Astyanax mexicanus: one gene and its partners. The protein of the gene in region 3 binds, or shares a complex with, the protein of the main gene of each other region. Links are inferred from orthologs where the notes say so. Each region holds a gene or a part of one and is shown on either strand. Other genes may lie near its edges. The genes, in order: wasf2, cyfip2 and nckap1.

Region 1 (10,931 bases), on a different chromosome or scaffold from region 3:
GGAGCATCTACATGTCTTGTTTTCAGCAGCAGGGGCTGAGAGGTGTGAGAACTGAAGGAAAGATGAACAGATCAAATTACAGAGAAATCCTGAAGACAGCTTTATGGTGAGAGTTAAGAGTTTAGGAGCTCAGATTGGGGTGAAAGTTCATCTTCTCACACAACCTGAAACTCACAGCCCAGACAATACAGGAGGGGTTCAGAACAGGTCTGTGGACATCTGTAGCTCAGACTTTAGTAAGGTTTGAAATTTGAACTTTAAAAATGGAGCCCTGAAGGTAGTGGTATATCAACACTCCCCATAAACTGGACAAAGCTTTAGAGAGTCTGCAGAGTAAATGGATACATACAAACAGAATAAAGTATATATTTAAGGTCTGATTTATACGTGCATCCTCTTCTGTGCTGTTACTGAAGACTATTATTTGTGGAAGAAGTCATATCCTATATTTTTCTTCCAATTGATTTTTTTCTATTCTGACATTTGTGTGTTTTTATGTACCAAATGCCTATGTTTATACCTTTAGAATTAACCAGGCTTTTTAACATGCCTTTACGAATAATGTGCAGTGTTATGCAATTGTTTGGAAATCTTTGGAAATCAAATAATGATGTTTTTTATTAAGAAGTATTAAACACAGCCTCTGTAGCTAATCATTTAATAGCAAAATCATTAAATACAGTGCAAAGCAACTCTGCCTTTTCTAACATTTCTAACATAAAAAATCATGTTAATGTTCAGACACCTTAAAATTTTCTAAAGCTCAGGTTTTTTTTTGACAAGGTCTCAGATCTTGATTAGCGATTTAGGCCTGAGTCATGTCACTACTTGTAATTAGAAACTGTCAGCTGAATCAAATTAAAGCTTACTCTCAATTTGAAGGTTTGAAAGTATGCGGCAAGTTATGGATGATGACTAATGAAATCTAAACAAAGCAGAAATGAGAAAAGAAAAAAAACACATTTAATGAAAAGAATGTCATGCCAACTGTAAAGCATGGGGGTGGTTGCATTGTATCATAAACTGAAGTTGTATTGCTGCAAGTGTCAAAATTGCGTGATTAAAAAAAAGAATGAATTACACAAAATACCAGCGAATCCTAAATACAAACGTAGTGAAGCTAAGAAAAAAATATGTATTTTACAATACCTCAAATCTCACTGCAAGTTGTCCAGCCACCATTATTTATAAAAAATGCTACAGTTAAAATAATTCCACAGTTAATTCCAACCCTGCAATGTGATTGGTTGAGAGGCATTCTATGAGTGCCAATAACAGCAGGTAATGCACTGTAAACGAAGCTCTCAATGTATTACTCTGCCACATACAGGTAACCCAGCAACGATGCAGCGCTTACAAGCCAAACAGCTCAGCTACAAACAGAGCAGCAATGGAACTATTTTAACTCACAAAGTGTTTATAACCAAACAGATCATATTTTCTTGTCCTCTTTACCTCAAATCTTTGAATAAACAGCAATAATGGAACTGTGGTATAATCACTATAATACACTTGAGGTGCGTGCTATAACGTGTAATATTGTGCCAATATTATGAAATGCTTTGATTTAATTATATAGTAAAAACATTGTGGACAGACAGATCTACAGGTCTTCTGCAAAAGAGAGTGTAACATTTTCTACAACAAGAACAGAACAGCCTTTAACTGTTATAAATAATTGTTTAAAGGTGTTTTTCAAGGTGATGTCCAAAAAACAATATTAATAAATATTGTGTTTTATGTTTTATTATTTTTGAAGCTGTGCTTCTTTTTGCTCTTTTGTTAAATTAGAGACAAAAAATGTGTCACTTGGCCTGTAAGTGCTGTAAGTAAATTGTCTCTGTTGTGATTGGCTGCTCTGTACTAACCTCATTCAGAAAGCTATTCAGGCTGAACCACTCCTGATTGTAACATGTATTATGAATGGGTGCAGCTAACAGTAAACTGAACAGGCAGATACTGTGTGTGTTAGGGCTTAAGGAACAATAAATTCAAGTTCTTTTATTTTAACTGTGTAAAATATGTTTTTCTCTGTTAGAAAAGGACCGAGTTTGTTATTATGATTTGTCATTATTAGGTATTATTAATACAGTGACACTTTCTTTTGTTTGTCTTCTGAGTGTGGTGTTCGCTGCCATCTAGTGGCTAAGTTTGAAGCTGCAGCTGTTTTGTTTATGAACTCCAAAGGCCTTGCTTTCTCTCAGTGCTTTCTGAGTTAGCAGCCCACATTTCTGTAGATATAATGTTGCTGTAGCTGTTTTGCTGTGTACCACGTGCCATCAGATTTACATTGGGTTCTTCACATACTTATTGTGGATGAATGGCACTGGACAGGCTTATGGCAGATAAAAATATCAGAAAAAGAAAAAAAAACACACATACCTTATCAGTGTTATTGTTACAGAGTTACCCCCCACCCCTAGCCCTCTTCATAGATAACTGGAAGTAATAGTTCTTTCTATAAACAAGCTGCAGGATATGCAGTAGTTATGCTAAATCTGATAACCACTTCAAACATTTCACATACTTTACATTCTTCACTGGATCACTTACAGCCAGATACAAAGCTGTATTTCTATGTGTGATTACTGGTGTGCTACATTTACCGAGGATCACTAGAGAAGTAACATGTCTGAATCCATCTGGTACATACTATCTGCCAGCTTCCGTCAGCTTCTCCTCAATTAAGCTTGATGGAAAAAGCCAAGCATAGCCAATCAGCAACTGTGTGATTTCAACATTTTTTGTCAGGCACTTACCTGCTCAATTAGTAAGCAATAATAAATTGTTAGCAATTTAAAAAGCAATAGATTGTTTGCTCAGTTAAACTGAAGCCTCTCCATGTGAACTTGTTTTATAATATGATTTATTAAATTAAGAGAATGGGTTGAAGAATTGAGGAAACGCTTCATTAAACTCATAGAGCTGATTGTTTCACTGCAAAAAAAATGAATCTTAGCAAGTGAAAATATCTAATTTCAAGGCAATAAATCTTATTTTTTTTGTTTTATTAAGCATTGTAAGTGTAAGATAATTTTGCTTATTTCAGTAATAAAGATCTTAATACGTTTTACTTATGATTTTGTAACTTATAAAATAAAACTCATAATATAAAACTCAACATGAGCACAAAAAGTGACCAGGCAAGTTATGCTGGTTATTGTGTCCAAATTTAGGTCGCAAAATAAGCGATTTTTGATTGATTTAAGTCCTAATTAACCCGTTTTGAGATTATGCAATTGCTTATTTTAAGAAATGTAATAAGAATATATATCTCAATTCACATATATCTTATCTATTTTTTCCAATATAATTTTTGCTGAGTTCATTAAGAAAAATATTTATTAAATAGTGTTAAATTTATGTACTGGTTTATGTCTCTGACTATTATTCTGTTCTACATTGGTACTCTTTATATATGTTATATATGGAGGTCAGGGTAGGACTGGGAGTTTAATCAAATTCAGTTGATTCATCAAATGTTAATGCCATTTTCAAAATGTACATCTTTACACATAGAAGGTACCAGAGGGAAACTCAGTAGATAGACAAGTTGCTTCTGCCAAGAGTAAAAAAATACTTAATACATAAATAATAACACCTTCTGATCAGTCTTCTGAACTAGTCCATGATTTATGTATCTGTTCTATAGGAGTGATGTTGCACATACTCTTGGTTGTTTGATATGTTCTCACTGTGGCATTACAGTTTTTCTCAATTGGTTTGGCTCATTTCTTGAAACTGAGATGACATTCCTATAACTATAAGGTAAATTGGCCAAACAGACTTACAGTTCTTCACAACACTTCAGATAACCAGCAAAATGTCATATGTCTCCCAAAATGTTCGTTCTTGCTTCAAAATGAAGTCTTTCTCCCATGTAAATAGTCAGTACCATAAAAATGGCATAGATCCTTCTCAATTGCTTTGGCACATTTTCATTCATTTCGTCCTCCTGTCAAAATAAACTGTACGGTAAAGCACAACTACATGGATCCTCATCACATGCCCATATCACTCCAAAAACAGTTTACCCACGTGTCAAAACTAATTTCCTTTCTCACACAAATCATCAGTGCCCCCAAAATGCATTGTCCCTTTGGCATTGTGTAAGTACTGCAAGTCAAAATGCTTAGCTGTTTTGTCTTTACAGCAGAGGTTTAGCTAAAGGAATACAATTTTCACACCACACACACTGCACTCAATCTGCTGAGGAAAGTGTAACTATTTTTATTTACAAGTACATCTTTACACATTACTGTAGGTAGAAAAAAAATACAAAGGAAAATGTATCAAATATACTATGTATACAAAATACAAAAACCTGAAAAAAACAAAACAAAACACAGTATGTAAAAGAAAACAGTCAAGCATCACAAATGCACTACAGTAACATTCTGACTATTCTGTGTCACTCCCCTCTCTCTCCTGGTCACCCTCCTCATCTTCCTGGCCATCCATCCGCTGCAGTCTGTTTGGCCATAAATTTTCATTAACATCGCATTTGATGTGTTCTTTAGCAATGCACTGTGGGAAGAAGCGTGGTAAATGCCTGAGCCATCCTCTACACTAGAGGTCTCTAATAGGCGGCCCGCTGTCCGGGTCCGGACCCAGACGTTATTCAATGCGGACCCAAACCGATACACTACACAGAAATATCTTTATTCTGAGAGTGGTGGAACTTTTTTTGTCTTTGCTCTGCGGCGCAGTAAACTCACAGACCACTCGTTTGGTGTAAAATCACCAAATGCTCTCTCTCCTCTGCCAATCAGATCTGTGTAGACTGCTGCCCTGGCCAGTGAATTGGGACGCGGCCGGGAAAAACTTCTATATAAAGAGATCAGGAGCCGGAGAACTGGCTGAAAAACGAGAACGGACGGAAACTAAAGACACGCTGAGTGCGACAAAGAGACAGGAATGTACACACAATTATACAGGATATAGTTAAAAATGGCCCGGACCTTGCACTGACGAAATTTTCTCCAGCATTCAAAATCATAGACAACCTGTCAGGTAACAAACTGATGGATTGGTCACCTGTAATGTGGGACACTCATCAAAACCTGCTTTCACCTGTTACCTAATCACCTGATTATCATGAATTTATGAAATGTTCCAAAATATGTGTTCTGTATTGAATTACAATTTCTTAACTCATTTTGAGAATTGAGCAGACTATTCTGCAGATGATGACTTATACGATGAAATTGTGCTGACATGTTTTGGAGAGAACAACCATAACACTGAGAACCAACCAATTGGGATAGACCAACAAGATGCATTCTTTTGGAAAATGTGCTAAATGTAGGATGATTGTGTTAAGTGTAGGCTACTTGTACATAACCATTTGCAAAGATGTACTAAGTGCTTGAGACATGTACAAAGCATTTGAAATGTGATGAAAGCAATGAGAAATGCCATTCTGTTGTGAGGAACCGCAAGTTAGTTTGGGGATTTGTCCATATTATTTTGTAAATGTCATCTCAGTTTCAATAAATGAGCCAAACCAATGGAGAAAAACTGTAAGAGGGGGTGAATTGGAGTGGGAGGAATTGTCCAAAATACTGAGTATTTTTCCCAGCATCCTCCTCTCTGAAACCTTTAAGAGAGTCCAGCTCCACACCCAGTGCAGAGCCTGCTTTTCACCACAGAGTGATAAAACATCTTCAGCATTTTTTACACATATACAGTATTCAATAACTTGCGCATCACTTTAAATAATGATGTCTGTTTACAAATTTAACATGCTAAATTTGTTATGTAAGAATTAAAAATCTTAATAGCAATGGAAAATCAATCATATATATAATTAAAGAATATCGAGATTATTTTTATTTTTTACAGTATCGCCCAGCCCTACAACAGGGTGCTGTCCTGTTTCTCGTGCCTACACCTTTAAGCAGAGATTTGTGGAGCTTAAAGCGAGCATCTCTCCATATTTCGGATGTGTTGGAGCAGGCCCGCGGGTCAGGAATGCCCAGGCCGCGCTACTCCGCCGGGAACAGATGTTTTCAGCCCAAACGGGTGGAGCGCTGCTCTGCTCACAGCCACGACCACAGCCACACCCCTTCTGTACAAGACTGACAGCTGAATCAACCAATTGCGTGTGAGGAGCTACTTAAGCCGTCCAATGAAAAGTTAGTAAATCCGAGCCTCTGAAGTCAGCGCCCGATTGCTCTGGTGACGGCAGATGCGGACATTTTTCTCGGTTAGAGAGAGTTGAGCTGCGAGTTTCAGTAATGTTGAGGTAGTTAGCGAATTAAAGTGGTTGTTCGACTTCAGCAGAGAGGAGCTGTATCTTTCACCCTCGGGTAAGAGAGTTCAGGAAGTATTTTCAGGGTTTAATTCAGAAAAATAGCGAGTTTATGCTGTATTTTGGGCTGTTTAGGCGGCTAAGCTAACCTAGCTAACCAAAGATCTGGCTAGCTGCTAACTGCTTACTTCCTGCTGTGGAGCTCAGGGTGGGCCGCCCTGGGAGTTTTGCTCTCAGAAAGTTGAGAAGTTTGCCCTGTCTAATAGTTTGACGTCTAATATTTTACAGAATGCTTTAAAGTGCTTAAAACAGACCTTTATCTCTTTATTATCTGTCTAAACTCTTTCAAAACGAGTCTGATTTCGCTGAAGACTTGACTGTAAGTTACCTCCATACTGTGGCTAAGTTTTCTGGTTTATTATTAGCGTTAGCCATTATTTAATCCTTTCGATACGTTTTTGATACTGTACGTCTGTAGTCAACTAGTGAGTTAGGTAACTACATTTAGCGTTGTTTTATATCTGACTTCTGCTGTCACTTAATAAATGAAACTTCTGTTGGACGTTTAGTTAACGTTACCTTCATCTAGCTTGCTAGTACTTCCAGTTAGCTGTAAGCTAGTTCCAGGTCTTCTAAAGTCTGCTGTAAATATGCAGTAAATCTCAGTATGGATTAGCTACCTAGGTTAACTAGCCACTAGCTACTGTAATGCCTAGGCCTGCTATTTGGGTTGTTTGTAGCTACCTCCCTAAAGATTTGATCGTTTGTTTTATTAGTTTTTTTTAATTACATCTGGGTGTGTGTTCGTGTAGAGTTCTGTAAACTTCCTCTAAAAGAGGAAGGTCAGAGGACTTGATGGCATGCAGCTGTGTCTATGTTCCTCTGATAGTTACCCATATCAGCTGACAGTTATGGTGCTTAAATGTTATATTTAATAAAATAAAAAGTGTATTTTATGAAAGATGAAAAATATGTGAATGGCACTAGTCACTAACGTAAAACCTCAAACTTTTAAGATGTTTTGACATTTTGATTACAGCTGCAACTAATGATTATTTTGTTAGTCGACTAATCTGATGATTGTTTTTTGGATCAGTCAACATTTATTTCAGTCGTGACTTCCATTGCTTTAAAATGAAAAACATCTAAACGTAGGGTTTATATGCCTTTTAAATTACCAGAAGAGGTTTAAATGTGGACTATTATTTAGTGAGTAAATGTGCTATCTGTTGTGTTGGGGATCATTTACAGCATAGACATTCTGGTTTAAAATGCACATTACCATAATTTTACTCACTTTTCCTTTACCTATTGCACAACATTGGTCTGCACATACACATCTGTATTGCTGCACTTCATGCTTTACACCCAACAGTACCATTTTTTTCTTTTAACAGTATATATTAGACTACACATTAAAACTAAAAAAACATCATATTTCTGTATGTATCTATATGATAACAAGACAATATAAGATAACCATATTTACCATACTTGTGCTTGAGGCACAGATGGAATGTGGCCTTTACCTTAATACCATTAGTGTAGTGAACACGCCTATACACACCTGTGAGCAAGCTCACAACATATTTTGTAATCTCTCTTAGCTGGTCCTTTATTTTTTTTTAAATATGATTATCAGAGTTACTGATTACTATTAGTTGTACCATGAAAGACTAATTTAATTTGGCTTGATTTGAGCACCAGCACAATGGGCAATAGCTTTAGCTTGAATTGTTTTTTTGTTTGTTTGTTTTTTTCACAACACAGTGGAATTTAGTCACCACCTGATTTTGCAACATTTGGGGATTAAAGCATTGTGTGTTTGTTTAGAGTTGGGTCTAAACTGTACAGGAAAACATGTGCTTGTGAAAAGGTACTAATCAAGTGCCACTGTCTGAAAATATGCTGTTACATTTATAGATATATTTATCAGTCATATCACACTTTTTTATGTTAATTATACTACTTTAAAGGCTTGTTTCTATTTTTTTCTAGTATTCTATTCATAGTTTTATTACATTTTAGTGTTAAATAATGCTGTCCTGACAAGAGAGTCTCCCTGACCTTCCTTCTTTATGTGCTTGTATGTATGTCCAACAATGAGACAGTGTACAGAGTAACCCTAAACATTTCTATTTACCATAGTATTTCTAGTATATATAGTATATCTGAATCTGGACCGTGTTGAGTATGTCTGAACACTAATGAACTGTCAGCAGGATTTTTCAGTAGGTGCAGTGTCAGTTGGAGTTTAAAAACATAATGCTTTTATCCTTTCTATGCAGATTAGAAATTTATATATTCATATATATTATAATATATATATATTCAATATGAATGAATGTCATAGTTAAATGACAGTGGCAAGAAAATACATTAAATTATTTCTTTAAATATTCATTCTGGATGTGTTGCTGTTCTGTTAATCATCGGTAGAAAAGGTAAACTTTCTACAATACATAGGGAAATTTATTGCTTTTTATAGCTTACATAAACCCAGAAGGAAATGCCTTTTTACACTGATAGAGTGTGAATGCAATTACAATAAGAGATGTATCTATTTGTGGGCCTAGACTAACAACAACATGAAACGGACAGGCAATTCTAGACTGTTTAGTTGTTTAAATAAAAAATAGAACCTAAAAAGGAAGGCATGTAGCAGTTTTGGTTCTGCTTTAAGCTCCAGCAGTTTTGGCTATGTGTTTCCTCTTGCATTGGGAAAAGGTGCATGTGGATGTGTGCATGGAAAAACAAGCGAGCATGAGGACCATGAAGCATGCATCCATAAAGAATTACCAGAAATGAGGGTGTGAAGCCTGTGGTCTGTCTGATTTACTCTCTTCTGTTCTCCAGGGAGGAGAGAGACTAAATTGTCATCATGCCTTTGGTGATGCGGAACATCGAGCCACGGCACCTGTGCCGCCAGACTCTGCCCGCCGCTGTGAAAAGTGAGCTGGAGTGTGTAACCAACTTCACACTTGCCAACATCATCCGGCAACTTGGCTCCCTAAGTGAGTGGCTCCCCCTGCAACTCCTGTTCGAATTTCAGATTGACTGTTTGTGGCTGACTCTGCATATCTTAATGTATCTGTGTTGTTGTGTGTTCTATCCAAGGCAAATTTGCAGAGGATGTGTTTGGCGAGTTGTTTGTCCAGGCCAGCTTGTTTGCAGAAAGAGTGAACACGCTTGGCGAGCGGGTGGACAAACTGCAGGTCAAAGTCACACAGCTAGACCCTAAAGAGGAAGAAGGTAAAAACAACACAAGGAGATCACATTTAAAGATTGAGACTGACTGGTTAAACAAATAGAATCAGGTCTGCATCTACTCTGCTTGATCTGAATTAAATCAAACTATTCCCAGGCCTGTGTGGTTTAGATTGATGAGCTATGTACTAGAATTATTCTGTAAATATTATATATGATATATAACTTAAATGGACATAAGCATTGGGACATACCTTCTGGTCAATGAGTTCAGTCAGGTGTTTTATTAATGCAGTCTGCCTTTTCAAACAATAGTAAAAAGAAAGGTTTTAAAGAGCCTACTAAATTCCATTGTGGAACCAGCTAGTGACATTTTATTTCCTCTTAGATACTGCACCGTCAGCTGTGAGTGGAATTACTGAAAAGTCTAAGCATTTAGGAACAAAATGGAAGATCAGTTAAAAAGCAGTCGTGTGTAGCATAGTGTATATAAGTGAGCAGTGCTCTGCTGACTTAACAACTGCATAATTCCAAACCTGTTTTTACAACTGGAAAAGGGGAACCATCTTAACCAGAACTTTCTGTGTTACATGATGGGTGGTATTCAATAAACATCCTAGTTCAATAAGAGTATAAACAATAACAAAACCAGCTTCTATGTCTGTTAGGAACAGTCTGAATGTTTTAAAAGCTCAGATATCTGTTGCGATTCACACAGCAAGGACGAATAACACTTTAAGTTCTTTTTATATATGTTGACTTTGTTTCTGTGTAAAATAAACCTGTTTGAGAAGCAATTTGATACTTGGATACTTTATATTCAGCGGGATATCTGGGTAATTATAGGTTACATCAAATACATGAATCACTAACCAAATAAAAAATTCTGTGTAAAAGCTTTTACAGCAGCCAAACCAGATAACTGTTGGTTATTTCTAACTTTACACAGCTGAGAATTTGGGAAATATGTTATTCAGCTTTATTATAGTTTTTGTTTTAGCACAACTGTGTTAGACTATTTTTGTTTCAGTTTCACATTTCCACTCACATGCATTGTTTCCTTGCATAGTTTCTCTGCAAGCCATCACCACTCGGAAAGCTTTCCGCTCTAATCTGACCCAGGATCAGCAGCTTTTCAGCCGACCTTCTCTGCCCCAGCCAGTACAGGATACCTACTTGACCTGCAACGAGCCTCCTCCACTCAGCATTCTTAGTGTTTACAGGTATATCATCACTCTGTAGAAGCATTCAAAGTGTCACAATCTGGACAGACAAGGCACACTGAACTGTTTGGGGACATTTATTATTTTAAACATAAGGGGGCAGTGTTTGGTTAAAGAAACCGCAAAGATGGGAGGTTCTGCAGAAAATGTTGTTAGTCCTTCAGTTGTCCCTTAAAGGTAGATATTTATTGATCTTAAATCTTGACTTGGATCACATTTACATTTTATGATCTTTGTGTGCAGTAATG
Region 2 (10,636 bases), on a different chromosome or scaffold from region 3:
TGATGTGTTATTTGCACAAATAACACTGCAATGAACTGCATGCTGTTCCTAGGGCTGTTATTTTGCTCCTATCTGACAAGACGGCGTCACTGCCCGGCTTCAGCTTTGTCTGTGGGCGGTCCTGAGCCGAGGTGGGCGGGGCCATGAATACTAATTCACGGGTTGATGTAGACACAGTGCTTTTCCTGATCGACTCGTTTTTCTGAATATTTTCTTTTACTAGCTGCTGCAGACAATGGAGTTTGAGGAAGAGTTTTATCATGTGCAGCGTCATATACAACTCAGAGAGACCTATTGTTTTTCACAAAGAACAAGAAAAAGTGGATTTTAGGGGAAGGGCACCTTTAAGAGCCAGATGGGCTCTGATTTTGGTGGATTGCTATTTTAACAACGCAGATACCTGGAAACGTCCAATGCTTCTCAGCACAATGAGAATTGTGATGCGTGATAACACTTTGCGCAGTGTGTATGATAGAGCCGATTGTGTATAATAGCATAATAATGCAATTATATAACTTAAGTCACTTGCTGAGTCTTTAGTAATGAAAGTAATGAATCTTTCCTGTTTGCAGGCGGCGAGAAACTGCCTGGTCTCAGAAAAGCTTGAGGTGAAGGTGTCTGATTTTGGAATGACCAGGTAAGAAAACAAGCTGTTATCAGGTACAGTAAACCTTTCCTGTCTGCTGAGGGCATGCTCTCTACATGATCACCTCTCATCATTTTCTGCTGGACCCTGCAGGCCTGTGCTGGATGATCTGTACGTCTGCTCAACCGGCTCCAAATTCGCCATGAAGTGGTCGTCACCAGAGGTGATCAACCACACCAAGTTTAGCAGCAAGTCAGACGTGTGGTCATTCGGTCAGTACGACGTAATTTCTTAATTTAAACCTGCTGTATTTAGATTTAAGTAGAAGTTATGCAGATCTAAATCTCTAACCTCTACATAATACAATATTATAAACTGATTGTGATTTTTTAAATGAAAAACAGTAGGTTTTTCCACCATTTACAGCTCTGGAAAAAATTAAGAGATCTCTTCATTTTCTGAATCAGTTTCTCTGATTTTGCTATTTATAGGTTTATGTTTGAGTAAAATGAACATTGTTGTTTTATTCTATAAACTACAGACAACATTTCTGTGTCCCAAATTCCAAATAAAAATATTGTTATTTAGACCATTAATTTGCAGAAAACAAGAAATGGCTGAAATAACAAAAAAAAGATGCAGAGCTTTCAGACCATAAATAATGCAAAGAAAACAAATTCATATTCATAAAGTTTTAAGAGTTCAGAAATCAATATTTGGTGGAATAACCCTGGTTTTTAATCACAGTTTTCATGCATCTTGGCATCATGTTCTCCTCCACCAGTCTTACACACTGCTTTTGGATAACTTTATGCCTTTACTCCTGGTGCAAAAATTAAAGCAGTTTAGTTTGGTTTGATGGTTTGTGATCGTCCATCTTCTTCTTGATTATATTGCAGAGGTTTTCAATTTGGTAAAATCAAAGAAACTCATCATTTTTAAGTCTCTTATTTTTTTTCCAGAGCTGTATTTCTGTTTGCATATACACTGACCTGCCAACAGTTAATCCTTTTATTTTTATTTTTTTCCTAATTCAACTTTTGTTTTTATTTTTACCATTTACTTTTTTAGAATATTAGTGTTATTCTTATGTACTTAATTTTTTAAGACTGAATCTGAGGTAAGTGATAAATCAATATTGCCTTAACTATTCCTTCACCTCCTTAAGCTCTGTGTATTTTTATTACATACTAAATATTACTAATGCAGTAAATATATCTGAACTGTATATTAAACATTACAACTTTGATGATAAATGATATTCAGTATAGTATGTCCTCCTCCTGAAGTATGAGCTCCTATTGATTTAACTGGTCTTGGTAATCTCAGGTGTGCTGATGTGGGAGATCTACAGCGAGGGGCGGCTGCCCTACGAGTATCGCTCCAACGCGGAGGTGATCGAGTCCCTGAACGCCGGACAGAGGTTACTGCAGCCCCGCCTCTGCCCAGAAACCGTTTACCAGCTGATGCAGTGGTGCTGGAAAGAGGTGAGTGAGGATTTTTCAGTGGCATCACTAAGGGTTTTTACAGTAGATTTAAATTCTGGCATGCACAGCACACATTTTTGGGCTTTTATGTATGGCGTACAATTTTACGTGAGGCATGGGCTTTTATGCCCGGTGTGCGTTTCTAATCAGGGCATGGGCTTTTACACATGACTTGCACTTTTACGCGTGTTTTTACTCATGGCCTTTTATGCACAATTTTACATGAGGCATGCACTTTTATGCATGGCGTACAATTTTATGTGAGGCATGCGCTTTTACGCACGCCTTTTAGGAATGACATGCTCTTTAATGCACGATGAACGTTTTTACGCAAGGCATGGGCTTTTACGCACAAATCCTGCTTTTTCACCATGAAGGGTATACACTTTTATGTATGCCGCAAGATATTATGTGAGCCATGTGCTTTCACACATGCTGCACGTTTTTAAGCAGGACATGGGCTTTTATGCATGGCACCTGATTTTATACAAGGCATGCCTTTTACACAGCGATTGTGCTTTTCGGCATTCAAGGCATATATGTTTTGCACTGTGCACGATTTTACATCCTCCACTGAATGAGCTTGTAGGCACGGAAGGCATGCATCTTTACCCACTGAATGCCCTTGTATGCATGGCACCATTTTTACGTGAAACTTACGTTTTTCGGGCATAGAATGCCTAGACCTAAATTATTTCCAAGGCATGGTAATATTTTTTTTAACATTGTTACTTGTTGATATTGATCTTACTTTAATTTAATACAAATGAACCCTTAATTTTTCATTTTTGGCTCAAGTGCTGCCGTGCCCTACTACAGCTGTTTTCCAGTGAGGTGGGTGGGGCTGTTTTATTGGCTGGAAAAGTTTTTAATTGGTCTATTCTGATATGTTATTATAAACTTAAAAAACAAATATTAACAACACAATGTCCTTAATAGTGGATGGAGGGTCTGAAAGTGTTAAAAGTGTACCTAGTGCCTGAGGAGCCCAAAGTGACTGAATGCTTCCATTGCTTGAGAGCAGAAAAGGCCATCAGCATCACAGTAGAAGCATGAGTTTGGCAGATTTGTGAGGCATTTGTCTTGTTTAATCTACTGTATTAACTGTATTATTATAACGGCATGTCTTCATTTAATTCTATTTTATTTCTAATAGAAACCTGAAGACCGGCCGTCCTTCGCTCTGCTCCTCCATCAGCTGGCCTCTCTTGCTGACTTCTGAGCCATGGATTGTGTTAAATTTCATACACAAATCAGAAACCTGAATATAGATATATTGTACAGTTTATAGCAGTTTATTTATTTGTAAATTCTATTTATTTCTACATTTTTTATATTTCTGAGCAACCTTGATCTAATGGATCAGCCTTTGGTGCCTTAGTAGATAAATATATGGTAAGCCATTTTTGCCTAAAATTACACCAGTGATAAAGTCCTAACTTGTATAATGTACACTGTAATAATATAATATAATTTTTTTTAACTATTAATAATAATATTAATTGATCTAAAACTGATCTGAGTTTGTCTAAGTCAAAATTACAGAGGAGATGTCTGCAGTCACAACATTTACTAGTTAAAAATGCTAATTACTAGTTCAATTGTAATTTTTATTGGTATACTAGTGCATCTAAAAAAAATGTATACTATCCTTGAAAATTACTTTATTTCAGTAATTTAGTTCAAAATGTGAAACTTAAATATTGTATTTTATAGATACAACACAGAGTGATTATTTCTCCTATTACTATTGATAATGGATTACAGACAATAAAACCCAAAAATCAGTGTCTCAGAAAATTAGAATATTATATTAGACCATTTGGTACTTTTGGCAGTGTGGGCAGTGTACCAAATCCTGCTGGAAAATGAAATCCACATCTCAATAAAAGTTGTCAGTAGCAGAGGTTCAGCATGAAGCGCTGTAAGATTTTGTGTGAAAACTAAACTGCACTGACTTTAGACTTGATAATAAAAACACAGTGGATCAACACCAGCAGATGACATTAGATGCACTAGAATACTGAGTTAGAACGTATATCAATGGTGTGTTTGTAAGCTAAACCTATTTGCTGTATAAACTCTTGTAGTGTAGCTGCATTAAAACACTTCTGCTCTTCTGCTCTAGAGGGCGAACACAAGCTATTTAATAAACTAGATAGAGCTTCAGCCTCAAAACTATTCATTACTGTATTATTTACTTCATTTACTGTATTATATTTTTTACTGTTGGTTCAAATATTATGTATCATAAGTCATTTTAATACCATGTTTTATTTTTAATAAAAGCAAAAAAACCCTAATCAGACAAATATACCATGTTTTAATCTGTGACCACACACACACATACACACACACACACACACACACACACAAACAAACACACACGCTTTAAAAAGAACAGGATGACCAGACGAATGGACTTACTATAGAAGCCCATGGTGATACACACACCCACTCACCCTCACACACATGCCTCCTTTGGTTACTGTGGAAACCACACAAGGGTTACACACACACACACACACACACACAGGCTGCCAGGCCTCACTATGTATCAAACAGCCCAGAGCACATGGTCGGCTCACCTCATATTTTATTGAATGTGTTTCCAGTGGGGTTATCCGCTCTGTTGTAGGCTAATGAACTAGCATGAAATATTCAAGCAGACAGCTACTTCATTTTTTCAATTTCCCTATCAGTTATTATCTAAACCTTTCACCACTCACTGGAACAAAATGACACCAAAGCAAATGACTTTTAATAGGAGAATGATGTGATCTACAATAGCTTAAAGGGGACCTCTTTTTACACAGGTTAGAATAGGTATATGGTCTATACAAAACATACACTGAGTGTTTATATCTTACATAGCTTGTGCAGGCAGTGGGTACAGAGCCCTCACTCAGACAAAGTCTGCTGCCTAATCCTGCTGTGTACTGTCAGAGGTTCTCAGGAATGGTGCCAGGGTGGTTCTCTGCAGGTTTTCTTATTGTGATGTCACAATAAGAAGCTAGGGAAACATCCAATCGGTACATAGAAGCATATGATTCCTGACGCAAAAAGTGAGTTTTGTATAATACACACTATATTATGCTATATTAACCATTACAGTGGAAAGTCAGTCACTTCTGGTCAAATAATATGATTATTTATTTTTCTCTATGTTTTTTCTCTATATAATAAAAAGAATATTCTCTATAGAGACACACTTCTGCATATTTGACTGTTTATTTGCTTCAACAAATTCATCCAGAAAAGGATTATTATTATTTTATTCCCACTTGCCATGCTATGCCCATTTAATATCATATGCAATAATACATTTTAATTAAAATTTTTGCAGTAGTGTATTGTTGATTTTTTTTTTATTTAGCGTTTTGTCATATCGAGTATCGTTATCACAAGAATACCATGAAATATTCTGATCTTATTTTAGGGCCATATCGCCCACCTCTATGCCTTGTCCGGACGGGATTTGTTTCTCAGGGAGTCATGGTGGGGCTCCTCTGTGATTTTATTCCCGTCCGGAACGACCATGTATGTGTTTTTCTCAGACGTCGTCTGAGAAAATTACAGGCTGAATTACCTACTGTTATGTACTGAATTACCTACTGTTTGCTGAACTCCATTCTCTTCCAGTAATTTTAGTCCCATCCGGAAGCACATCCGGAGATCCATGTAAAAATACTACAGCGAGTGGAAATGGAGGAGCTACTGAACACAATGTCATGTGACCAAGAAAGCCTAAAAAAACTTTCTTGCATCCATTGCATTCTGGATGCAGGAGTTTAATCACTGAGTAGAAGTGTTAAATATTTTAGATTTCATGATTTATGAGGGTTTGAGGTAGTTTGGGTGTTGGGTGGTTTTGTGAATTGTATTTAGTATTTAATAAAACCAGCCGACTAGTTTACAAAATTATGTTTTAGCAATTGAAAAAAAAAAAAAAAACACCAGTAATAAACACCAGTATTTATAATTTGTTTGTTTGGCTAATGATAACTCACTCACAGAGAGGCAGCTAAGGATACCACTTTAAAATTAGACTCCTTTATTAAGGTTTTATAAATAGTTTATAAAGGCGTTTTTTAAGCGTAACTTACAACACCTAAATAGAAGGAACAACAGTGACTATAACTTAACATGTGTAATTGAATAATACAGAAAAACGTTAGTCATTTAATATGTTATTAAAGTTAAATGAATAAAGTTTTTAACAGACATTTATTACTTAATATCCATTAATAAACTGCTTTATAAGTATTTATAAACCCTTTATAAAAGAGCTTTTTAAAGTGGTACCCAGCTAAGCTAGCGTTAGCTTAGCATAGATTAGCTTAGCATAGTTCATGTTAGATAAATGGGCCTCTGTCACTTTAAGAAAAGCACTTGCAGCCATTTTCTGCTCTTTGTGTGCGGGGTGGGTGGATTAGCGGACGGGGCTGAAGCCGGAGCATCAGTCGGTGGAGATCCAGGAGAGAGGCACCCTCCCCCGGCTTGTGTGAGAGCCGAGTTGCGCTTTGGCCGGTCCGTTCGGTTTCGGGCGGACATGAGATTTGCGGGTAGGCTGTGAGCTGGGCTGTGTGTGTGTTTAAAGCGCTGGGTCTGGTGATGAGGAGGAGGTTAGATAGATAGCGGGATGATGGAGGCTCGGCGGGAGGGAGGAGGAGGAGGGGACCTGCTGCTGCTGCTGCTGTAGTTCGCGATGCGCCGTCATTTTTTATCACTGAGACCCGTCTAGTCCTGCTGTTTGCTGGTGTTTCTGCTTGTTTAGCGCGTTTCTCGGGTTTGTGGTTTTATAATAAGTATAATATAGAGGCGCTTGTGTGAACCAGGCATCCGTTCATTCAGTAGAAGCGGTGATAGCGGCGGTAGTATCAGCGGTGGTGCTGCTGCTCCGCTGCCTCACTGAAAGAAGCATCCTTCCCCGTTATGGGTGGGGTGAGGGGAGGACTGTCGTCAGAGCCTCCATACGAAGAAATACTGATAAATATCTGGGTTTTCTCACTGATTCCGCCTGTTTTAGATGCAGATTTGTATTTATTTGCTGTATAATAATAAGAAATAGCTTTAACGCGTGTGTTTTGTTAGATATATGGGTTATATTAAGGTGGCTCTTCTCAGTGTGGGCTGTAATATGGTTGCTAGGTTAGCTGGTTACTGCTGTTGCTAGCTAATCTAACGCTAAGCTAACTAGCTAACGTAACTAGCTGTTACTGTGTTTTTATAACGTTAACCTATTTAAACAGCAAATTTCTGCACTTCTTCTGGAAAAATGGGTTATAATAAAAAAGTGTTGTTTTAAATAATTCTAATATTACATATGAAAATACAATTTGGCATAAATATACGTGTTTCATAAATTTCACTTTCGAATTTGTATTAAATAATAATGGTGTAACAAAATAAAGAAATATAACAAAAATAATGTAATGTAACAACAGAAATCTACCAAGTTCAGCATATTTAGTGCACACAAATTGCAGAAATCTTGGACTTCCTGGAAAAAAATGTGTTATATTAAAAGAAAGCGATATTTTGAGTTAATTCTAATAATAAATATAACATAAAATCATACATTCAGTTGAAACTTAAATAAAAATCTAACGTTATAAATGCCTGTCTGTTTTGTAAACAGCAACTTACCAAGACCCTGAATTTGTATAAAATAATAATGGTTAATAATAATAATAATAATAATAATAATAATAATAATAATAATAATAATAATAATAAAAAACTTATCAAAATAAATACAAAACAGTCAATACAAAACGAATTTTTGGACTTTGTGCTATATTTAGAGAAAGTGATGTTTTGTTTGTATATTTCCTAAACAGTAACTTGCCAAGACCCTGAATTTGCACTATATAATAATGGTGTAACAAAATGAAAAATAGAAACAAAAATAATGCTAACTACTGCTTTCTTGAGTTTTTTTTTTATCATGTCAAGAGTTTTTTGCGATAATGTTTTTTACAATGAGATATGGCACAAACCTACACAAGCTACACATTTGCACTCACTTTGTTTACCCCATATTTTAATAGTAAAAATGACCGATACCTAAACTGAACAGCTGGGGCACACTAAAAATTAGGTAATGTCTAACTAACATTTCTTAGTATATTACACAAAAAATACCCCTTCCTTACTTGTCATCAGTGTGTGCTACCTTTCGTTGGATATTTAGTTATATTTAATAAGATTGAATTTCTGGCCACAGTGTTGTAAACCATAAAAAAGTGACCATATTCTTTGCTGTGATTTGCGACTTCATGCTGACTGAGAACTAATTAATTTTATCAGGTAATGTGATAATAGGGTGGCAGAAGGGAAACAGGAAATATTGATCTATTTAGTTGTGTGAAAGGTTTATCTGCCCTAAAACAATAGCACAATATTTCATGGTATTTTTACAATAACGATACTTTTGCCAATAAGACAAAACACTAAATTAAAAGAAAAATTAAATAACACACTACTGCAACAAAATGAAAATACAATTTTACTATTGCATACATATAGCACACCCCTAACGGATATATTAAAAAATACAAGAACTTTATCAGATTTGTAACAGAAGTCAATAATCCAGAATGTCATGATACTAATAATAATGCACTCCAAATATCTCAATATATCCAAGATTAAAGTAAAATAAATGATACTGGGCAGATATAATCTGTTTGTAGTAGATATATAATGGGAAATGAGAACAGTGTGAATTTTTCTTTTGCTAAAAACTGCAAAAAGTAGTACCCTAATGTGATAATTAGGGCTGGGTGATATGGCACCATATTTTAGGTTGTAATATCATTCACGATATTAAAAAGGTTAGCAATATTATTATGTATAATACTATATGGCACACTGCTGGTCCAAAGTGCTGTTATGAACTGTGCTAACCTGAGACATGCTCTTTTGAGACCAAATAAGCATAATATCCCTCATTTTTCACCAGTGTGTTCAACCTATAAGCCTCCATTACAGAGACGATGAGAAACAAATGATATTTCAACAGGTTATCAGCTGGTCATCGGCTGTCAGACGGTGCCCTTAGCACAGAGTATGAATACACTGCTTGTTAGTCATCAGTCAGTACATCACTCACTGTAGCCGGCCTGTTCAGAGCCTCAGTGTAATTTCATAGCCTGAAGGAAATCCATCATAAATCTATGATGTAATCCAGTCCGGTGCTGAGGCCGATGCTAAGTTGAACAGCATTCTCCACTCTGCTATCATTCTTGAAGGAACAGCGTACGGCATTGTGTCCAGTATTAATACACTTTGTCTTTATAATAGAGTGATCTGACTGATGGACCTGTAGTGTGTTACAAATTCATACAAACAATCGGCAGATTGAGGCGTGAAACCTGTTCATGCATCTTGCCATAGGCTGCCAGAGCTCAGAGAGAGCACAATTCGTCTTGCTCTCTCTGGGTGGGTGATGTGGATCAGCACAAGGCGTCTGTGAGCTGATGTATCAGAACCCAGTTGCTGCTCTTACCCTCGAGCGCACTGTGATGCTACTTAGTAATGCTGCATCAGCAGCAGTTCAAAAAGAGGCGGTGGCTGACTTCACATGTGACGGAGAAGGCGTGTGCTAGTCTTCACCCTCCTGGTGTTGGGGCATTACTAGTGAGGATTTGCATAGAGCTGCTTGGCCATGACGACTCTCCATTTCATGAGTCTCTATACACTCTGCTGTTGTTCATCTAATCTAAAGCTACATGAAGTTTGGAGGTGTGTAGTGATGAACTCTGAAGCTACATTAAGTTTGGAGGTGTGTAGTGATGAACTAATCTGAAGCTACATGAAGTTTGGAGGTGTGTAGTGATGAACTCTGAAGCTACATGAAGTTTGGAGGTGTGAAGTGATGAACTCTGAAGCTACATGAAGTTTGGAGGTGTGAAGTGATGAACTCTGAAGCTACATGAAGTTTGGAGGTGTGTAGTGATGAACTCTGAAGCTACATGAAGTTTGGAGGTGTGTAGTGATGAACTCTGAAGCTACATGAAGTTTGGAGGTGTGAAGTGATGAACTCTGAAGCTACATGAAGTTTGGAGGTGTGTAGTGATGAACTCTGAAGCTACATGAAGTTTGGAGGTGTGTAATGATGAACTCTGAAGCTACATGAAGTTTGGAGGTGTGTAATGATGAACTCTGAAGCTACATGAAGTTTGGAGGTGTGTAGTGATGAACTCTGAAGCTACATGAAGTTTGGAGGTGTGTAGTGATGAACTCTGAAGCTACATGAAGTTTGGAGGTGTGTAGTGATGAACTCTGAAGCTACATGAAGTTTGGAGGTGTGAAGTGATGAACTCTGAAGCTACATGAAGTTTGGAGGTGTGTAGTGATGAACTCTGAAGCTACATGAAGTTTGGAGGTGTGTAGTGATAAACTCTGAAGCTACATGAAGTTTGGAGGTGTGTAGTGATTGGTGTAGTGACTCTGCAGAAAGTTGGTGAACTCTGTGAATTATGCTCCTCAGCATCCGCTGACCCCGCTCTGTTATTTTACACTGACACAGTCTCTTCTACTGTGTTATAATATCACT
Region 3 (10,683 bases):
TTTGGACAAATAAATATATATTTATAGATTTTGGTTGTTGCTGACTTTTTGGCAACTTTTTGGTTGTTTTATTTTTTTTTAATAGATGGATCAATGCTCTAAAATTACAATTAGAATTGGAATTAATTTTATTTTAACTGTATACTAATCTTTATAATATGATATTGGCATGTAAGTACACTAAATATTAATATACTGCCCATTATATCATAGTATGACTTTAAATCATGAGCAAGTACTGAATGAATGGACCATAAGGGCTAAAAGTAAAAACTCAAATTAAATATATTGTCTATATATTTGTGGATATCCCTTTAATCAGAGCTCTTATAATGCAATTCATGAAGTTTAGTCAAGGATAAAGTCCCGCCTCAAAACAAAAAGAGCCAATCAGATTGCTGATTGTGCCGAGAGTTTTGGAGGTTTAGCATAATAGTCTCTCTTCAGTGTGGAGATCTGCGCAGGCGAAGTAGCCGTAACAAGTCGAAAAATTAAGCGTTTTTTGTGCATTATTAAGTTAAATACTGAAAACTGTTTATGAGTCTTTTATCAGATTTTAAAAGCGATGTAAAATATGTTTCTAAAATGGTAATTAAACCTTCAATGTTTCATATTTTGGTCTCCTTTCAAACAGATAAAAGGCTGTTTTTTATGACGGTAAATATCAGCTTTTTCTTTATGACAAATCAGCCAACTAACTAACCTGTTGTGTACTTAAAGAAAAGCGTTGATATGTTACACTTAGTTTAATCTATATGTTGGTGTATTAGATGTATTAGAAGTATTAGAACAGTGAGCCGATCCCATTATTTCTGCTGTACACTAAAAATATTTTGACATTAAAACACAAATATAAGACGAAAGATCAACATTTCAGCTTTTATTTTGAGGTATTTACATCTAGATCTGATGCACAGATCAGAAGATAACATCTTCTGATAACATCTCTAAACATTTTTTTTGTGATGCTTTTGAAGGCTTTTAATGCTTTTTTGCAAGCCCAAGCCATGACACTACCTCCACTGTGTTTCACAGATGAGCTGGTATATTTAAGATCATGAGAAGCTCATGTACGTCTTGAACATTTCCAGCTTTCCATTCATTTTGCTGAATAGTGTTTTTTTGATCTTCTGGTGAAGCCTTGGTACTTCTGTTTATCAAGTTTTCTGGGAACAGTGGATTGAGATACCACATCACTCTGGAGGTCATTGATAATGTCACTAACATTTGTTTTAGGGTCTTTCTTTTCACATAATTCACAATGTTTCTGTCATCAACTGCTGTGGTTTTCCTTGATCTTCCTGTTCGACATCTACCTGTTACTCAGTACACCAATGACGACTTTCTTCTTCAGGTCATTTCAAACAGTTGTACTGGCTATGACCAATATTTGTGCTCCAATGGCTCTGATTTCATGTTGGTTTCTTCTCTAATGCCCGGATCAGACTAATTTAGCCTGATTTTGGCTCGATTTTGTCGAAGCTGACAAATTGCCTGCATTTGATCTGAATTTCTGAAATGCAATCCGGGGTGGATTTTTACTTTCTGGACCTGGACTACCCACCTCTGTCTGTAAGTAACTATAGGTTTAAATAGGATCTCCAGTGGATTTGGTGTTTTACAGAGACTCTAAGTCTAGATCAGTGGCTGAACTGCACTTAGCAGGGCATTATTACACATGTTGTAAAGTAACATATAACATTACAAAGACTGTTATTAGCATAAAAATGTCTCTATTTTAACTGTTGTCCATCTTGCTTGCTCCCTCCTGGTTTTGCAGTGCTGTTAGCCAATCAGAGGCGATATGTTTGCATAAATGAATATTCATGAGCAAGAGCCAACATCACCTCCACTCCTCCACAGGACTAAAGCAGTGTTATACCGGATCACCGGAGCACTTTCATTCATACTAGAGACACACAACTAGACATTTTTAAAACAATAAATAAATAAAGTTAATTAAAAAACGATGGATTGAGACCTTTAACCGTGTATCAGATGCAGGTGTAAATACCTGGAAATAAAAGCTAAAATGTTGATATGTTGATATGTTGTGTCTTATATTCATATTTTAACATAAAAACCCAAATGTTTTCAGTTTTCTAAAGCAGACAAAAACTAGTAAATATTTATAAAGCTCTAAAATTTGCATCACTTGACCTTGCCTAACAACGACTGGAAACTGGAAGTCATTGCCCTAACAAGCCCTGCATGTGTGTAAATGTGTGTATAGGTGTGTATATGTGTATAGGTGTGTATTGGTGAGTGTGTATAACTGCATATATGTTTCAGGTCATCCTGTACCTCAGCCTTGGCCTGCTCTATGAACTGTGTGCACTCCTGCAGGTGGGAGATGATGTCAGCGTCTGGCAGATCCAGTATGCTGAGTGTTTTATAGATGAAGAGGTCGGGGAAGGCGTTCTCCACACCGTACGCTACGTTCAGTATGTGTGTGACCTGAAATTAACACAAAAATATATATTTTTAAGATAAAAAATACAAATATAACACTTAATAATGCTAAATAATAAGAGAAAATACACAGTAAATATGGTACCTTGTATTTTCTCAGAGTGGCGAAGTCGTGGGCAGCATCTTGTGAGCCTGCAATTTAAACGCCACGCCATGAGGACACATATATTATTTAATATAGTTAATAGTTAATTTAGTAAATACATGTAGCATATACTGTGTAGTAGAAATTAGGCCTGTAACAATAATTGCTGGATTTATATTGTGTTTATTTATTATGAGAAGAGCACATTAATGTGAATGAGCTGGTATGTCACATTTTTATTAGTTTTATTTAAAATATTTAGAAAATATTCAAAATATAACAAAATATATATTCATTAATCATTCATTTAAATAAAAAATTGGGACATTATATATTATCCTATAGAAAATTATAGATAGTTATATTGACATGTAAAATATCCAGTTTTCAATGTTTTTGGCTATATGTTATATATAGTTCTATTTATTTATTTAATACCTGTATCTCAAAACAATCTGAAACTGACAGTAATATCTTATATTCCAATAATTTATCATTAAATTAAAACTAGTTATAGTGAGAGGCCTTTTGGTCGTTGTATTTATTTAATGAGGAGAGCATGTTAATGCGAATAAGCTTGGTTTTTTAGTTTTTTTCTCTCTTTTATATGTCTTGCATATTAAATTAAAAAGATATTTAAACTTTTTTTATGAATATTTTTTTCTGATTATTAATATCCTTAATAAAAGCTGTATAATTGCATTATCATGCTATTATATTTTCAGTATATCATTATAGAAGTGAAATAATTGGTCATAAAATTACAATAAAAATGTGTGTTTATTCTTTACTACTATTACTATTGTAATGCAGCCTATTTCTTATTATTTGTTTTACTTATTTATCTACATTATTTAATGAATTTCTTAATCTCAAGGTCTCTTCTCTTTTTACTATTTACTATTATTTATTGATTAGCTTATTATTATATGTGGCATAAATTGAAATCTGTCACAGTGTAAGACCCTCCATGTAATGCCTGAATATAGATAATAATCACAAGCTACAGTTTTATTATCATTATATTATTATTATGTTTGTCATAAATATAATAATTTATGAGTCAGTATATTGTATAATAAACATTTAATGATTGTAACAGGACTATTACAGATTAATATAGTAGTAGTAACTATTGCATGACCCACAAAATCATCTGTATATCTTATTAAACTAAATAAATTAAATAAGACAGGTGTAAATTAAGTTTTTCTGGTTTATTCAGTTATAAATAAACCAGCTGAAGTCAGATAGGCTATGTTTACCCCCCTCACCGAGCAGTAAATGGGGTCTGATGAGTCCCACTTGCAGGTCCCAGGTGTTGTCCTGTACGTATCCGCAGGCGCTCTCCGGCTGCACCGTGTCCTCCACCACATGCACCGTGGACCCCTTCCATGTCTCAATAATCCTCCTGCCGCTCAGGGTGGTCACCCGGGTGCATTGTTTCCTCAGGTTGGTCTTGGAGAAGGATTTGATCTCTTGGGCGAGCGACTGCATCACATGTGTGTGTAGATGTTCCTCAGTAAAGCAGAATATAACGTCCCGGTGTCTCCGCAGCAGGCCTGTCCCTCGTTCTGCTCCACCTCGCTCTGCTGGCCTCCTTTACAGCCTGAAAACTGAGAAGGGTCATCCTTACCTGGGCATGATGAACACCTGAGCGCTTCAGAGCAGTGCTGCCACCTGTAGGATAGAACTGACTGTAGAATTCAGTTTTCCATCAACGATGGCAAGTCATCCATGCCAAGATGTAGCAAAACGGGCCAAGGCATGATGCTCCCACCACCGTGTTTCACAGATGGAATAAGGATTTTATGCTATAATATAATTTTTTACAACCGAATTCTGTGACTAATCGTAACCAATCAAATATTACAAAAATAATACAAATACAAATAATACAAAAATCAAATCGGATGCAAAACAGAGAGGCTTCTAATTGACCTGTTCTCTGCAAAGAGTCTGTGAGTCAGCCAATCAGTTTTTTAGTGTGGGCGGGCAGTTTTTTTTACCCCTGCTGGACAGGATGCGTTCAGTGAGTGAAAAGAAGCATGCATGCAAGAACCATATATATATATATATATATATATATATATATATGCACACAGCTCTGCAAAAGAATTAAGAGACTACTTCAGTTTCTGAATCAGTTTTTTCTGATTTAGGTATAGTATAGGTATACGTTTGAGTAAAATGAACATTGAAAAAAGTTGCAGAGCTTACAGACCTCAAATAATTCAAAGAAAACAAGTTCAAGTTCATAAAGTTTTAAGAGATCAGAAATCAACATTTGGTGGAATAACCCTGGTGGTTTTTAATCACAGTTTTTTTTTATTCATCTTGGCATCATGTTCTCCTCCACCAGTCTTACACACTGCTTTTGGATAACTTTATGCTGCTTTACTCCTGGTGCAAAAATTAGAGCAGTTCAGCTTTGTTTGATGGCTTGTGATCATCCATCTTTCGTTGGATTATATTCCGGAGGTTTTTTAATTTGGTAAAAATCAAAGAAACTTTTTCCAGGGCTCAGGGGCGGACATATGTCAGAGGTCTGTGTGCAGCCCGAGTGCTAGTTTTAGCCTGTTAGGTTGTTAGATCGCTAGCCTGTTGTTATGTTGGCGTGGTTGCAGCCGATAGCAACCATCGTAAATTTAAGCAAAAAAGCAACGACTGTAAACATCTTTCTCGTCCATCCTTTCAATGTGACCAGCCGGACGCTAAAATATTTTTTTATTAAGGAAAATTATAAAAAATAGTAACGCACAGTTACTTGGATATTTAACTTTAATCTGATTATTGGATTGGAAATAGTAACACTTTAGATTACTCGTTACTAGAATAATGGACAGATTAGAATATGTGTTACTAAGTAACTGACATCTCTGTACCTAGCAAACAATATATGTTATAAAAATATAAGATTTTATAAGCTCAAAATCAGCATTACAACTAGACTAGCACTGGGCTTTAATTTTAATGTTACTGCAGTTACTGCAGGAAATCTGCTCTTGTAAATTTCAAATTGGCCATAATAACTTTTCTTTCAAATCTGGGGTGGCAGCTGCCACCCTGTGCCACCCCGATAGATCCGCCCATGCCAGGGTTGTATATTACATTTACATGTATATAGGCCCTTTAATACAGCTCGGCAATTTCCGGAAACACTCGGCTAGGCTAATCGGCAGCGTTCGGTAAAGTCCGGCTCGGATCGTGGGCGAGCCTTCGTGCGTGCTCCTCCCTGCAGCGCTGCTGTTGCAGGAAACAGGACGACAGGCAGGGCAACACCTAGAACCGAGCCGAGCCGAGCCGAGGGAGCGGTCCGCCCCGGAGTATGGGCCTGTCTGAACACTAAACAACAGCACCAGCCGCAAGCCCGGTTCCCTAACACTACAGAGCGCGCGGTGACGGACCGAGAGAGGCTTTATTCAGCGCGGTGCGGAGCTTTGTGTCGGCGCCATGTCGCGGGCAGTACTGCAGCCCAGTCAGCAGAAGCTGGCCGAGAAACTCACCATCCTCAACGACCGGGGCCTCGGCATGCTCACCCGCATCTACAACATCAAGAAGGTGAGCGACAGCGGGGCGGTGCACTGATTTAACCCGGTTAAACCGGACCCGGGTCCGGCTACAGCTTCATACACGCAGCTATAGCCGAGCCGCTCAGGTCCATTCAGCCGTTCAACAGAACGATAGCTAACGATTAGCTTAGCATAGCTTAGCATAGCTAACGAAGAATCTGCGGGGAGGCCGAGCTCAGTGCGCTGTTATTAGCTAAGCTAACTAGCTAAAATTAATGATTAGCTAGCTATTGCTATAGTTAACGTTACAATTTCGTGCTGAATGTAGTGTTTTTGTCCATAAATCTGCTTTAAAAACTAGCGAAAATCATAATAGCGTTACTAGCTGACGTTGTGTAAGCTAGTTAGCTAACGTTAACGTCAGCTAGTCAATATTATGTAGCTAGCTAGCTATGTGATTTATTATTTATTTTACCATAATTATTTTACGTTTAGCTTTATTTTAATAACGTTTTTTAAACGGACAGTGGGTCTAAAAACAGGTTATGGCTCATTTTAGATGTATGTTTGTATCTAACGCTAATGGTGTCAGTTTCGCTAACACTCGCTTTAATGGTTTGCTATCTATTTAGCTAGTATCTGGCCGCTGGTGAAGGCGTGTGGTGTAGTTTACGGGTTATGTTTTATATTTGTTTGTTTATAAGCTTAAATTGTTAATGGAATATGCTTTTAGTGTCGTTTATTGGGGAATGTGGTTTTATTTAAATGATAGTCCGCGTGGTTTTTCTTCATAATGATATCAAACACCTAGAGACGTTGATTTGTTGTTGTTACTCGTCTACCACACCCACTTTTTATACTCCTACTCATTCCTACTCCTCCACACCCACTCATACTCATTCCTGCTTCTCTGTGTCCACTCACTATACTCGCAAACATCCATACTCCAGTGTCCACTCATCCTTCCACACCCACTCACTATACTTATCCCTACTCCTCTATGTCCAGTCATACTCATCCCTGCTCCTCCACACCCACTAACTATACTCATACCCATCCCTACTCCTCCACATTCAATCATACTCATCCCTACTCCTCCACACCCACTAATTATGCTCACTCATCCCTACTCCTCTATTCTGTGTCCACTCATACTCATCCCTACTCCTCCACACCCTCTCATACTCATCCTTACTCCTCTGTGCCACTCACTATACACACATTCATCCCTACTCCTCTGTGTCCGCTCGCTATACTCATCCCTACTCCTCTGTGTCCGCTCGCTATACTCATCCCTGCTCCTCCACACGCACTAACTTTACTCATACCCCTCCCTACACCTCCACATTCACTCATACTCATCCCTACTCCTCTGTGTCCACTCACTAATCTCATACTCATCCCTTCTCCTCCACACCCACTCATTTTACTCACTCATCCATACTCCTCTATTCTGTGTCTACTCATACTCATCACTACTTTTCCACACCAACTCATACTTATCCCTACTCCTCCACACCCTCTCATATACATCCTTACTCCTCTGTGCCACTCACTATACACACATTTATCCCTACTCCTTTGTGTCCGCTCGCTATACTCATCCCTACTCCTCTGTGTCCGCTCGCTATACTCATCCCTACTCCTCTGTGTCCATTCATACAAAACCCTTCTACTAATTACTGCAATTATCCATATCATCCTCTAATCAGTAATACCTTCCCCAAGCACACACCATTTCCTCCATACCAACTCAACGGTACCCCTAAGCATGTATACCTTATATATATATATTTACTACACCTTCCCACCATGTCTGTTAATCCACACCCACTCATCATACTAGGGCTGCACAATATTAAACACATTATTAAACTTACTATACTCTTACTCATCCCTGCTCCCTTGTGTTTACTTATACCTTTCCCACTACTAGTCACCTAAATCATTCATACACTCCCCAATTACACATACCCTCTCCATGCCCACCCCTATTTCTTGATGCTAACCCAACTGTACCCCTAATCACTCATACCTACTATTACCCATGCCATGATTGATTTTTGTGGGGGTTTGTCATTTTATAGTAATCTGAAATGATTATAGAGTTTTTGTTGTTTTTAAGTGTGTGGTATGAACGGTAGCTAGTGGACACCAATCATAATGAGTTGCAATTATTGCATTTAATGAATGTTGTATAATTATTCAGTATATGCCTCTCTCAGTTTCGTCCATCTTTGTCGTCTGAGAACTAAGATTATTGTAAGCTGCTGTAATTTAGTTCTGATTCTGAAGTATGAATGAAGTACATACGGTCAGGTTGGACATTGTGATGCTATAAGGTGTGTTTTTCAGTATTTGATTGAGTTACTGATGATATATGGTCGGAAAATGCTGCGTCAATAAGGCACAAATGTTGTCAGTGTATATATTATCTCCAGTATACTGAGAAAACTGTATTATAGCATCATATCGGAGTTTATTTGTCAAATTAATACAGTAATTCACAGTAATCCAACTAGTAGTCAGATACTTTGATGACTGTCTGACTATAAAACAAAAAAAAATGTAAGAAATATTGTAGTAGAGGTGAGATGTGTACAGTTTAATGTCTGATGTAATAATGCAGTATGTGAATATGTAAGGATTTTGAGTATAACATGAAGAAATGTGAGTTTAGTGTTCTCCAGTATTATAATGATTAGTAGGCCTGTATTAATACTTATGTTACTGGCTAATTGTACAACATGTAAACCTCAATAAGTTTTAATAGCTTCAGTATTGCCTGTTGTGTTTATCTTATCAGGATATTTTGCATGGTAGCAGTAGATTCATGGTTATCTTCTTTACAGAGTCTTATTCTTTTGGCAGTACAATATAATAGTCTCTACAAGGACTGGACAAGCTGTGTGTGTGCATTTGCATATCTGTTTTAGCAATGTGTGCAACTTTAAAGTAGTTTTAAAAAATCAGAAATAAAAAAAAACATCCCAGTCATCTGGAAGAGTTTTGTGATATTCTGGTCTGCTGGTTGAGAACCTCAGACAGTACACATCAGGATTAACCAGCAGACTTCGTCTGAGGAAGGGATCTGTACTTACTGCCTGTGGCAAGTCAGCAGAAAGTATGAGCTTCTAAATATGACTGCTGACTTAGGCTTAAGCACTTAAGCACAAACCTTCTACATTTAGGTGTACATTTGTACACCACACGGCTGTGAGGATTTGATTGTATTCCGTGAGGGAGCATTAGTGATGGTTATGTTTATCTTCTCCAGAGGGCCATATTGTATTGGCAGTACTTTTCTACAAATATTTGGATCTATATTGTCAGATTAAATTTGATTGATCAAGTTAAATTATTAAAATACTAATCCCTCCATACTCCATACAGCCCTATACTCATCTTCCCACCCCATACTCCTATATACTCATCCCTTCCCAGCCTGTACTAATCCATATTCATCACTTCCCAGCCCATACTCATCCCTTCTCAGCCCATACTCATCTATACTCAGCCCACACATATCTTTACTCATCCCTTCTCAGCCCGAACTCATCCATAATCATCCCTTCCCAGCCTGTACTAATCCATACTTATCCCTTCCCAGACCATACTCCTCTATACTCATACCTTCCTAGCACCGTCCTAATTCATACGCATTCCTTCCCAGCCCATTCTCATCCCTTCTTAGCCTACACTAATCCATACTCATCCCTACCGAGCCTGTACTAATCCATACTCATTCCTTCCCAGCCCATACTCCTCTATACTCATCTGTGCCCATCCAAAACTAATCCATACTCATCCCTTCCCATCCCATACTAATCCATACTCAATCCTTCTCAGCCTGTACTAATTCATAATCATCCCATCTCACTCCGTACTCATCCCAGCTCACTCCACTCATCCATGGTCTGCATACTCATCCGTACTCATCACTTCCAACCCCATACTCATGCCTTCCCAACCCGTACTAATCCATACTCTTCCCTGCCCACCTCATACTCATCCCTTCTAACTCCATACTCATCCATGCCCTGCATACTCATCCATACCCACCCTTTGCCCACACGTCCATGCTTGTCTATATACTCACCCCTTCCCAACACGTATTCATCCATTCTTACTAATAATCTTCCCATGCCTACTCTATCCCTACCCATCCATACTTTTGCCTAGTCATCCCTACCCACTTGTGCCCACTCTGTTCTCACCCATGCCTACCCCATACTCCTCCATATCCTCCCTGATCGTACCCGTTTCTACCCGTACTCGGCAGTGGTGATGTTTTACCCGTTACTACAGAATGTTCTGAGGGGGAATCTCAGTGCAGTTGAGAATTAGTTCTTTATCTCGGCTCTAAAACGATCTTCACACCAGTGCTGAAGAGCTCAGCTTTAAGTACATTACTGTGAGAATAGTGTGTGTGTGTGTGTGTGTGTGTGTGTGTGTTAGGGTTCTTAGGCCGCTCTGACAGGCTTGGCTCTGTTGGAGCTGAGCGGGAGTCGGTCCAGATCTCTGTATAAAAGCCAGAGGGATGTGGGGCAGGGGCTTCATCCATTCTGTCTCTATCTGTCTCACTCTCACACACTTCTTTCCAATTATCCTCAT

What was found.
Region 1: nckap1 (region 3) and wasf2 share a complex: the UniProt entries of both Homo sapiens proteins name them as parts of the WAVE2 complex. The link is inferred for Astyanax mexicanus from reciprocal best matches to the Homo sapiens genes NCKAP1 and WASF2.
Region 2: nckap1 (region 3) and cyfip2 share a complex: the UniProt entries of both Homo sapiens proteins name them as parts of the WAVE1 complex. The link is inferred for Astyanax mexicanus from reciprocal best matches to the Homo sapiens genes NCKAP1 and CYFIP2.

The regions. Positions count from the first base shown.
Region 1 is NC_064410.1:50,555,351-50,566,281, forward strand, and holds the start of wasf2 (wiskott-Aldrich syndrome protein family member 2), read left to right. Parts: upstream 1-6,165; 5' UTR 6,166-6,311; intron 6,312-9,109; 5' UTR 9,110-9,134; coding exon 9,135-9,267; intron 9,268-9,370; coding exon 9,371-9,505; intron 9,506-10,529; coding exon 10,530-10,683; intron 10,684-10,931. UniProt on the Homo sapiens protein: Downstream effector molecule involved in the transmission of signals from tyrosine kinase receptors and small GTPases to the actin cytoskeleton. Promotes formation of actin filaments. Part of the WAVE complex that regulates lamellipodia formation.
Region 2 is NC_064417.1:49,387,853-49,398,488, reverse strand, and holds the start of cyfip2 (cytoplasmic FMR1-interacting protein 2), read left to right. Parts: upstream 1-6,481; 5' UTR 6,482-6,638; intron 6,639-10,636. Other genes in the region: itk (tyrosine-protein kinase ITK/TSK), read left to right, coding at 573-637, 740-858, 1,916-2,073, 3,230-3,295. UniProt on the Homo sapiens protein: Involved in T-cell adhesion and p53/TP53-dependent induction of apoptosis. Does not bind RNA. As component of the WAVE1 complex, required for BDNF-NTRK2 endocytic trafficking and signaling from early endosomes.
Region 3 is NC_064418.1:49,916,410-49,927,092, reverse strand, and holds the start of nckap1 (nck-associated protein 1), read left to right. Parts: upstream 1-5,790; 5' UTR 5,791-6,010; coding exon 6,011-6,118; intron 6,119-10,683. Other genes in the region: dusp19a (dual specificity protein phosphatase 19a), read right to left, coding at 2,305-2,457, 2,558-2,604, 3,832-4,054. UniProt on the Homo sapiens protein: Part of the WAVE complex that regulates lamellipodia formation. The WAVE complex regulates actin filament reorganization via its interaction with the Arp2/3 complex. Actin remodeling activity is regulated by RAC1.